Coturnix japonica: one gene and its partners. The protein of the gene in region 3 binds, or shares a complex with, the protein of the main gene of each other region. Links are inferred from orthologs where the notes say so. Each region holds a gene or a part of one and is shown on either strand. Other genes may lie near its edges. The genes, in order: RAN, PKIA and XPO1.

What was found.
Region 1: the proteins of XPO1 (region 3) and RAN are in contact, whole or in part, in a crystal structure (PDB 7B51), measured with the Homo sapiens proteins. The link is inferred for Coturnix japonica from reciprocal best matches to the Homo sapiens genes XPO1 and RAN. Residues at the interface, in NP_003391.1 of Homo sapiens: Leu35, Tyr36, His37, Gln43, Arg44, Gln47, Leu50, Thr51, Lys54, Glu55, Asn74, Tyr77, Tyr78, Gln81, Lys124, Val125, Lys129, Met132, Leu173, Glu176, Glu177, Phe181, Gln185, Lys266, Thr269, Glu270, Asp313, Gln316, Asn317, Gln320; in NP_006316.1 of Homo sapiens: Lys12, Lys37, Lys38, Tyr39, Val40, Ala41, Leu43, Gly44, Val45, Val47, Trp64, Glu70, Lys71, Gly74, Leu75, Arg76, Asp77, Gly78, Tyr79, Ile81, Gln82, Val96, Pro102, Asn103, Arg106, Arg110, Val111, Glu113, Val124, Asp125.
Region 2: the proteins of XPO1 (region 3) and PKIA are in contact, whole or in part, in an NMR structure (PDB 2L1L), measured with the Homo sapiens proteins. The link is inferred for Coturnix japonica from reciprocal best matches to the Homo sapiens genes XPO1 and PKIA. Residues at the interface, in NP_003391.1 of Homo sapiens: Val518, Lys522, Leu525, Cys528, Glu529, Lys534, Lys537, Ala538, Ala541, Ile544, Phe554, His558, Lys560, Phe561, Thr564, Lys568, Phe572, Glu575, Thr576, Val580; in NP_006814.1 of Homo sapiens: Asn36, Leu38, Ala39, Lys41, Leu42, Ala43, Gly44, Leu45, Asp46, Ile47, Asn48, Glu51.

The regions. Positions count from the first base shown.
Region 1 is NC_029530.1:2,655,216-2,657,884, forward strand, and holds the end of RAN (GTP-binding nuclear protein Ran), read right to left. Parts: coding exon 2,520-2,669; intron 2,144-2,519; coding exon 1,973-2,143; intron 1,869-1,972; coding exon 1,824-1,868; 3' UTR 631-1,823; downstream 1-630. UniProt on the Homo sapiens protein: GTPase involved in nucleocytoplasmic transport, participating both to the import and the export from the nucleus of proteins and RNAs. Switches between a cytoplasmic GDP- and a nuclear GTP-bound state by nucleotide exchange and GTP hydrolysis.
Region 2 is NC_029517.1:109,054,015-109,057,665, forward strand, and holds part of PKIA (cAMP-dependent protein kinase inhibitor alpha), read left to right. Parts: intron 1-1,785; 5' UTR 1,786-1,812; coding exon 1,813-1,963; intron 1,964-3,651. UniProt on the Homo sapiens protein: Extremely potent competitive inhibitor of cAMP-dependent protein kinase activity, this protein interacts with the catalytic subunit of the enzyme after the cAMP-induced dissociation of its regulatory chains.
Region 3 is NC_029518.1:5,186,677-5,190,427, forward strand, and holds the start of XPO1 (exportin-1), read left to right. Parts: upstream 1-1,061; 5' UTR 1,062-1,342; intron 1,343-1,624; exon of another isoform or gene 1,625-1,736; intron 1,737-2,470; exon of another isoform or gene 2,471-2,494; intron 2,495-3,751. Other genes in the region: uncharacterized protein LOC116653124, read right to left, coding at 463-1,061. UniProt on the Homo sapiens protein: Mediates the nuclear export of cellular proteins (cargos) bearing a leucine-rich nuclear export signal (NES) and of RNAs.

The DNA of each region.
Region 1 (2,669 bases), on a different chromosome or scaffold from region 3:
TCACTAAGTTATATTATCTTCATTAAGGCCAAGCTAATGAGAGGCTGCGGAGCTGCAAACCTTTTAGTTTTAACAAACTGCAGCTGAGGAAGTTGCACATTCACATCAGCACAGGCTGCAGTTAAATACAAAAAGGAAACTCCAATACTGCAATGTATGTAATCCAGCTCCTGAAACAGTTTGGAGGTTTACTTTGCAGGATGGGTTTACTGCCTGTTTCTGAGGGCTTTGTATTAATGTTCAGGAATCTCATAGTAGCTATTTTCTTAAAGATGAGTAAATCAGCAGCAGGTGCTGAAGCCAGCAGCAGAAACCAAGGCACACACGAGTTAGTAAACTCCACAACTCTAATACAAAGCTGAAGCGTGGTGATGCAGCAGGAAGATCCAGTGGGATGTTATGTCAGCTTCTACTTTCCCAAGGCTGGTGTGATGTTCCTCATTTCCCCTTAGTGAGTCTCAGTGAGCTGAAGTGCTCAGAATCTCAGTAACTCAAACCCACAGAACTTGAACTTTACACCAATTACAGAATATTGTTCTCAAACATTTAATAGTCAGTTTTTGCTGATACGCATCTGAATGAAGTGTTAAAGAGATACTCAGGTAGGAGTTACGTATACAAACATGCGAGTTAGAAGGAATGAAATGCTCCACTTTATTAAGAAACCAAAAATACAAAACTGAAGAGTTCCAAGGCTTCACATACTCAAACACTACTGAAAAATGGTATTCTGTTCATTAATAGTACCAGGATTGACCAAGATTATTCTCTGTAAGTGTTGACATCTTTCATCTTTTGTGCTGTTGTAATAAGCTAGTTTCAATTTAAGAAGTTACAGTCAAGTCTAGGAGTCTAGGAGTTATATGGGGTTTTAGTTAATATGCTGTTCTTTAGCCAAGAGCACTTTAAGCTCATCTACAAGTTTCCTAGTTAGTGAGTTTTAGGATGCTGAGTTTAATCAACTATAGCTCTACTGAATGATGCTCCATGCAAAGATAGTTTGTAGTCATTTAACAGACCTAAATATCATTTATTCTTGGCTACTTCAGAAAACTGCTCTGTGAAGGCATGTTGTAGTGCAGTTAAAAGTTGAGAGTATTGAAAGGTAGCAGATGGAAGCTGAACTACACACTTAACTCTCAAGATGCTCCACCAACCACATAAACATCCCACTTGGTATGGGTTGATTTATGCTTATCGGGCAATCAAGCTCCACTTACCAGTCAAGTGTTCACTGCTTTAGTTTTACCTGGCAGTTAGTTCAGCTTCCCTTGGGCACTTTAGTTACATGCTTCAGGAAATCAATGGAAGGTTAACTGTTAGCTCTGATTGAGTAAGAGGAGCATAACAAAAGGAAGAAGATACTAAGGATGCAGAGACAGACAAGTACGAGCCTCAGTTAAGAGGCTTTTCAAGACTTTTTCTAACAACGCATGAAAATTCACTTGCTTAGAGATATTTGAAATACAACTTTATTATCTAAACAAAAAAAAAAAAAAAAGAATGGGAATGACAGAAACAAGATTTACCACATAACACTTTGATGTGACTGCAGCAGTCTTATATTTGAAACTCAAAAGGGAAATAATTGCAGTCCAAAAAACAGCTAAATATGCAGGTCCAAAATCATGAAGTTTTGTTGGGGTTTTTGTTTTGAACTGCCACATTCACTCCGAAGCCCATTCATCTCTTTCAGCATCCCAAAGATTAAGCACATGTTCTGCTCAGCTAGATAATAAAGTGGCAAACACGCTGCACCACTGACATCACAGGACAGTTGCCTATAAAACTAGACTTCTGACGCTGGGCTCCAGCTTCATCCCTCACAGGTCATCATCTTCATCTGGCAGTGCAGTGGTTTGAGCAATCTGGAATAGAGAAGTAACGTTTGAGAATTGTTCTTGGTTACTTGCCCCAGGAATCCAGGTACTTATCTGTCAGTCATTTGACTTCAGCACTCTTCCTCACTTACCTGTAAGTCTTGCTCATACTGTGCTGCCAGTGCTGGGTCCATAACAACTTCAGGTGGTGCAAGAGCAGGCATGGCAACAAATTCCAAGTTAGGATCTCCGATTAGCTTCCTAGCAAGCCAGAGGAACGGCTTCTCAAAGTTGTAGTTACTCTTGGCTGAAATGTCATAATACTAGGAAAAAAAAAATAGAATATTCAATAAGAGTCTGCCACCGATACCTACAATATAATAACTTGCACACAATCAGCTCAGGTGTGCTTTAGTATTCTTTTTAACTGCATGACTTCTGTCAATGCCCTCAGAAGCACCTGAGATATGAGACATTAGAAATGCAGAGTTTCAGGCCAATAGGCAGAAATTGATACTCTTAAACATAAGGTGCTTAAAGGTGATTTGCTCAAAGGTGATTTCAGGATGCAATAGTGCCTCTTTTTCCTGTGACTTGGTCTAATTTCATCTTATTCCCAACACTGAAGGACTGAATAGCACTCAAATGTAGTTAACAGACTTAATGTATCTCTAATCCTGTGAACTCACGCCATCATACCTGAAGATTCTTCTTCCTGTGGAAGACAATGGATTTTGCCTTGACTTTTCTGTCCTTAATATCCACTTTGTTGCCACACAACACTATAGGGATGTTTTCACATACCCGTACCAGGTCTCTATGCCAGTTGGGTACATTCTTGTAAGTAAC
Region 2 (3,651 bases), on a different chromosome or scaffold from region 3:
TCGTGAAGGCATTAGTGTTAGTATAGTCGTATTAACTAATTGTGAGGCACAACACTGTTCATGTGTGTCAGACAGGCTTTCAGACAGTGCTGACCCCTTCCATTCTTTGGGTGTTTGTTGTTAACGTGTGGGGGTTTTTAATTTATTTTTTTATAAAGCAGTTTCCTGTTTCATACTGGTTGTTCATAGGAGTAAAATTACTATGTCAGCCATCCAGCATTTGACATGAGACACCAAAGCTTGATAGCCCTGAACTTTTTCAAATACGTCAGCCTTGCAGTGATACTTGATACAGTTATATTTAGTCTGGATAAAATATGGTTTAGAACCCTCTTTTGGCTTCTCAGGCAACTTACTTATAGCCCCTCATAAAGCTGATGAAGTTGTGGAGGTGAGGACTGGGGTGAAGATGAATGGCCAGAATTTGTGAAGATAATTCAGATCTAAGTGTAGGAATGAGTTGGCTGTTTTCTTACGTAGCTATTTAAATAAAGAGGTTATATGGAATGAAGGTGTTTTGTTGTTTTTTTTTCCTTTTTACTTAAAGAGTTTTATCTCTTGAATCATTTGCTGCTCTTAGTAGTGTCTTCCTCAGCATCCAGAAACTGTGTATAGTAGGAACTGCTTAAAAGCATTTGCACACAGCTAAACCTACCTCTTCTGGCCACGTTCTCTTTGCAGTATGTAAAGCCCAAGAAGTGCAGCTTAGAACTGAAGAAAGCATATAGCTTTGGGGGTGATGCTGCTGTGTAGTGGTTCCCCAGTGCTGCTTTTCTTCAGAGTACTGTTCCACCTGAAAGCTTCCATGATCATCCTCCTATATCCAGGCATAAAATGTAAAGAAGTTACATGTAAAGCCTGTTCATCTGGCGTTTTGCATGAAGCCTTAGTACAAATGGAGCTACATTAAAAGTGGCATCAGCAAAAGAAAGTTTTAACCCATCAGGTTAAAGCTGTGGCAGACAGTCCAGCAAAGATGCAAATATTTCTCTTAGTGAGGTTGAAATTCAAGTTTCCCCTATTGGCAAACTTTACATTAAGGCATATCATCACATATTCCATAATGACATGAAAAACAACTTCCATTGGAAAAGAATTCTGACCTATATCTAGCTTGCAGAACTTAGCATTTTAAGCTGTGCTTTATAGTTCAGCTCTTGTACTCTATTAGCTTATCTCCACTCACTTCATTGACTTTTTGGTAACGCATTCACTTTGGTGTAGCTACAGCACCAAAAAGAATTTGAAGGGGTCTATATACAAAGCCAAAATTAACCATACTAGAGGAAAAGCAAATGCACAAAACCTATCAGTGCCTGTGCATGAGCACATACTGTTATCAGTTTGTACTTTCTTAATCCTTGTGCTCTGCTTTTTGTGCAGAAAAGAACTTTGTTCCACCCCCTACCTTCCTCCTACTTCCCAGCTAATATTAAAAGCAGAGACAGCTCTATAAAGAAATTATGTTGCTGAGGTCATTGCTTTTAGAAAGTAGCACTTTATGAACTATGATAAATGAAGTTGTATAAAATGCCATTGAATACAAGTCGCATAAAATCCACACCTCACACTTTTTTGTTGTTGTTTTTTGTTTTTGATTTTGTTTTTGGCATTTCTTTATGTTTCTGCTCTAATTTCTCCAGATTTAAAGGTTGAGGTATCTCCTTTTGCTACACATCCAGTCCTCTGCTCAGTAAGAGCCCATAGTAAGAGTTCTTCTGCTCTGCTTCTATAACATCATCTGTTCTATTGGTCTTCTAAGTATTGGTGTTTTCTCTCACCCAGGTACTGCTATGTGGATATTTGTTAGCAATGACTGATGTGGAATCTACATATGCAGACTTCATTGCTTCAGGAAGAACAGGTAGAAGAAATGCACTACACGACATACTTGTGTCCTCTCCAGGTGGGAACTCTAGTGAACTAGCCTTAAAGCTATCAGAGCTGGATATAAATAAAGCAGGTGAGTGTGTTTTGGTCTTCTAATATGTTAATTAAAACTTCATGAGAAGAAATGTCCCTTTGAAGCATTCTTTTTTCTTGAAACTGGGATAAGCAGATGTTGCCTGCAATAAAAACACAGATTTCATAAAAGGCAAATAATTGTTACTGAAATAAGAAAGAACTTTCTGCAGTGAATGCTGGGTAGTTGAAGATAAATTTTATAGAAGATGAAGTAAAAAGAAAATGAGGAAGTATTTTTTAAGGCCCAGCTTATTAATAGTATCCTTTAAAAGGAATCTCTTTAATCTGAAGCTGGAAGGAGAGACCATATGCCTGCTTAAAAGTTTGTAGAGGTTAGTTTTGTTTTTAGGTACAAGAGGACAGAGAAATAGTGATGCATTGTTTGAATCTTTGCTTCCAGATGAGACATCTCTTCCCCTTTCTGATGGTGCTTTCTCCTTCTTTTAAGGTGATTAGCACTAATGCAGTCCTAAACCTAACTCCACTGCTAACGTTATCCAAAGTTTTAGCTGGTTGTGCACCTTCAACTGAGTGAAAGGAGGGACAGCGTACAGTGAAGTGCCTTACATTAAATAAAAACATTGACATGGCTTATATTTATTTTCTTGTCACTTGGTTGGGAACTAGTGAATGGATCTTAGAGGCCTTTTCAGGTTTCAGGAAAGGAGATATATGCTTATTTTAATAGCAGAAGAAAACAGATGCAGCAAAAAGCAAACTGTTGATAAGCAGCTCTCCTCTTTTGTGAAAATATCTTTCTCAGAGGTAGGCAAGAACTCAGAGAGACAATTTCATCACTGGACAATCATATCTGGTGGTATGAAATTGTAGTGGTTGTTCATTGACCTTCACAAACTCAATTAATCCTAAGTCCTTGCTTCTACCATTTCCACCTTTGGGCCTATAGTAGCTTTTAAATGCATGCACTCCTGTCAAAAAAGAAAAGGTTTTAATACATGAGCGTGTGTGTAGGGGCCTATTTATTCTAACGTGGGGATATGTCTAAAATGATGGACTGGTATTTGAAATACATTGTGCCAGCCTTCCTTCCTGCTTTGTTTCTTCAGGCTCAAATTTACACTGATTTTGTCTGATCTGCCTATTTAGAGAATATACGACTCCTGCTTTTCAGTTAGCTGTTGGAGTGCTTCTAAGCCAGAACTATGTTCTTTTGTGAACTATAAAAAGAATGTGACTTTGTACTTGTAATATACGTCAGTGTGCATTTTGCACATGCAGTTAACACTGTAGCGATGAAAATGGTTTAAATAACCATTCTCCTAAATGCTAATACATAATTCAGGGGTACATAGAATTGCTTATAAAATTACCTCAGGTGGTAGATATACAGAAATGGTAGCATACTTCTTTGGGCACGCAGTTTGAATTAGATGCAATGAAAATATACTTTTATTAGTAGTATACCTTGGCGCTGGACAAAAACCTCAAAACCAAAAATATTGGAAAATACATTGCATTGTCATTCCTGTGAGTATTACAGTGTTATCCTGTCCTGTCTTTCCAAACCTTACAAAACTACAGTTACAGTGGTTCTTTGTCCATAATAAGTTAACGACTTTCTAATATTCTCCTCTACCAAAACATATTTGGAACATATCTACCATATCAAAACATATCTACCAGAACATACCTACCAAAGAATGTACTTCAGTGCAGGAATGAGAT
Region 3 (3,751 bases):
ATTTCAGCTTTGTAATTTGTAACGCTTTTGGGGAGCATTGGGAAAGCAAAGGAATTGTAGAGCGTATTCATTAAGCATATTATGTTCTGTGAGTAGCACTTCATTTTAAAGGTTATAGTACTTCAAGTGTAAGAACACAGCTTAGCAACTTACACCCATACCAAAGTTTATCACCCATATCTCGTTTATACACAGGAGAGTATATTCAGAACCGTTAAGGACATGATAAAACTTCCCAAAACACCACAGCACCCAAATCTCTATTACAGCTCGGCATTTAATCTCTATTACAGCTCAGAATTTACAGAGATGGCAAAGAAGCGGATGCTGCACTGGACGCACCACAAGGAGCCGGACAGGGCCGTGCTGGAGGTGGGGCAGCGCTCAGTCCTCCCCCACATCCTCCCCTTCCACTGAGGGGACACAGCCTCATCTGCGAGATAGAGGCACTTCGCCACCCACCTCCCTGAGGCGAGGGCGGCCGTGAGGTAAAGCCCGCCATCGCAACACAGTCCGCCGCCGCCGCCCCGTTCTCTCGGCGCTGTGTTTTTCCACAGCCATCGGCAACACAACGGCCCAGCGGCAACACAACGGCCCATCGGACCGAACGGACCGAACGCCACCCTCCACGGCAGGGCAGCGCACAGGCCGCGCTCTCGGCGCCGAGCTGCGAACCAATAGAAAGGCAGTTTGTTCCTCCGCCCGCCGTTTGAGAACTTGAAGGCGGGCCATCCTCTGACTGACAGCTCGGCTCGGCCAATCAGCGCGCAGCAGCCCGCCCCTCGCGCGCTGTCGGGGAGGGGGCGGATCCCGTCTGTCCAATCCTCGCTCGTCGCCGCTCGCTCCCCGCACGCCTCCGAGGGGCTCAGCGGATTGACGTGCCGCCCGCCCAATGAGCGCGCAGGTCGCTCGCTAGGCGCCATCGCTCGGGACCAATGGGAGCGCTCGCTGGGCGGAGGCCTGAGGTTTCCAAACGCTCCGCGGCGCCATGGGCTGAAAACTAAACCGAGATGGAATCTCCCAGTCTGAACCGGTTTGAGCCGGTTCCGAGCCTGTGGCATTAGGAGGGGGAGAGGCGCCGCGCTCAGTCGCCGTTGCTCTCGCTGCCGCCGCCGCGCGTCCCGCTGACGGGGGAGCTCGTGGGGGGAGCCGCCGGCGCAGCTGAGGGACGAAGTTTAGCGCTGAGCGGGGGGGAGGGGGGGATGGGCACGGGGCCGAACTGAGGGCCCGCCAGGCCGAAGGAAGGGCGGCAGGCGCGGGAGGAGCAGCCGCGAGGGCCCAGGCCTGGAGCCAGCCGAGCGGGACGCAGCCGAGTCGTCACGCAGCCGCGGCCGCACAGCAGGTAGAGTTACCCCGAGCTGCGCCGGGAGGCGGCGGCGCCGCATCGAGCTCCGTGTCTCTCCCCTCCCCCGAGGCGCCTCGCGACCACGCGCCGGGCCCGAAGGGCGCATTGCGGCCGGTTGGGGCCGCCGGGCCGGGGCCGAGCCGAGCCCTGCCGTGCTGTGCCCTGCCGTGCTGTGCCGTGCTGTGCCGGGCCAGGCCGGGACGAGCGGGAGCAGGAACGGCGCCGGCGGGGGCCGGGTGTGTGGAGCCTCCTCTTACCTCGGTTTTAATTTTTTTTTAGGGGAGGGTGGCTTTTTATTTTCCTCTCCATTGTTATATTTTTTGCCGTGAGGTTAGGAACCCGAATCCCCCACCCCTTACTTTCTGAAGCAAAAGGTCACAGAAGCATTAAGGTGAGCGGGCGGAGCGGGAAAAGCGGTGGGGCCGGGGCCGGTGGGGCGTCCCGAGGAGCCCGGCAGGCAGGGAACGGGCGCGGGGAGCGGCGGGGCCCTCAGTGTGTGAATTATTAGGAGTGGAAGTTTCCAGAAATATTTTGGTGTGTCTGTGCAGCAGTATTGAAACGTCCGCCCGCGTCACGTGGGGGCCCCGTATAGAACGCGGGCAGGGAGGGAGGGGCCGCTCCGCAAGGCCGGGCCTCTGTCCCTGCCGGGGCCGCCGTGTCCCGGGAAGGCGCTGGGCCGTCGGCGTGCGCCGTTCACGCATAGATGAAGGGGCGAACTCCAGCCACGCTGTGTTGGATGCCGTGCGCACGGGGTGGCTCTCGGCGAGGGGCGGTGGGTAGATTGCCCGCCTCGAGTGATCGTCCCGGGGAGCCTCGTGTAGTCGCGTAGAAGCCGTGCTGCAGAGAATGCTGCTTGCTGTGAAATGATTGTTTTGTTTCTCCACAGGATATACTGAGTTGAGTCTATATCAAGAAGAGAACTGTTGTGTAGAGCTGAAGGTCCTGTGTCGCTGAGAGTTGGGATAGCTGTGTAAAGTTTTTGACAAATGCAGTTCGTTTGACCTTCGGTAGATGTCATATTCTTACTACATTGTAGCTGAGATGTTTGTTTTTTTTCCCTCTAGTTTCTATTACCTCACTTATTGTTAATGGTGAAGAACTCTTTAGTGTTGACATGAGGATAGTGGTCTAAGAGCTGCTCACGTCCAGGTATTTTGGGATGAGTGTGCAGAAGAGCAGTGAATGGGAGGTGTGATGTGTGTGGTGTGTGCCCGGTGTTGGTAGTTGGAATTAGAGCCGGTTGCCGTTGATGGTGACCACAAAGCCGTTTCTGAGTCAGTTTGCTGGTAGGCAGGTCAGTGTGAAGATAATGCTGGGAGTGGCAAAGGACCCTGTTCAAAACATTTCCTTTTTGCCTTCATTTGGTTAATAGCTTCTGTTCATCACGTGGCTGTTCCTTTTGGTTCCTAGTGTTACCAGCCTAACTTCTGTCTGAATGAAACTTCTTAAGATCAACCTGATGTTAAGAAGCAGGTATTCTTCATTGTGCTGCAGGTGCGCGGATGATATTCCACCTATATCCATACTTGGTTCAGAAAATCTTCAGCTTATATACGATACTTGTGTTACATATGTAATGATTTTCCCAGCAAATGCATCCGTATGCAATACTATTTCCCAAAATCATTGGCGTTGTGTTCCACCTCCTTGCACATCCACCCTCCTTTTGTGGTGTTAGGGGTCCTGGGGGGGTATTTCTGGAACCGTGGTGGTAATCTCAGTATGTCCTTTAGTTGAACTCTGGTCTTTTTTTAACCTTATTAGGGATGGAAAGTTCCTTTGTGGGATACTTCGCTGGTTGCTGTACCAAGGACTAGCTGTAACCGGTTCTTATCTCAGTATTGGCCTTGTGGAGTGGTCTTGCTATGTAGGCAGGAACCTTCTGCAAACAATTCATCTCTGTTACCTAAAAACTGTCATAATGATTCATGGCATTAGGATAGTGTAAAAACTACTGAAAAAGGCCCAGGTGCACATTGTGTGCTTCTGTCCAAGGAACCATCAATGTAAAATGTTCTTAGAGTTCAGAAGCTGCTTCACTGGCTCATGCCACAGCCATGAGGGCAGATGTTGAGGATGAGGAAGCACGTGTGTCCGGCAGCACTATTAACGCCCTCAGTTGCATTGCCTGGTAGTGGGCTGGATTTCTTCGAGTGCTGCTGCTTGTTGCCTTTCTTCCAGGTGAAATTTTTAAGTACCCTTATAAGTTAGTGAAAGGAAATGAGCTTTTGCTGCTGTTCTGCTTGCTTCCATACTTAACAGTTCTGAAAGTTTTTGGAGTTGGGTGGAGATGTGTTGGCCAATTAATTTTGGTTTCTACTTGATGTTTATTTCCTCATGTTTTTCTGGGTAGGTATTGTATAAAGGTCAATAGGATGATGATGTTAGCATTTAAAAATGGTTACA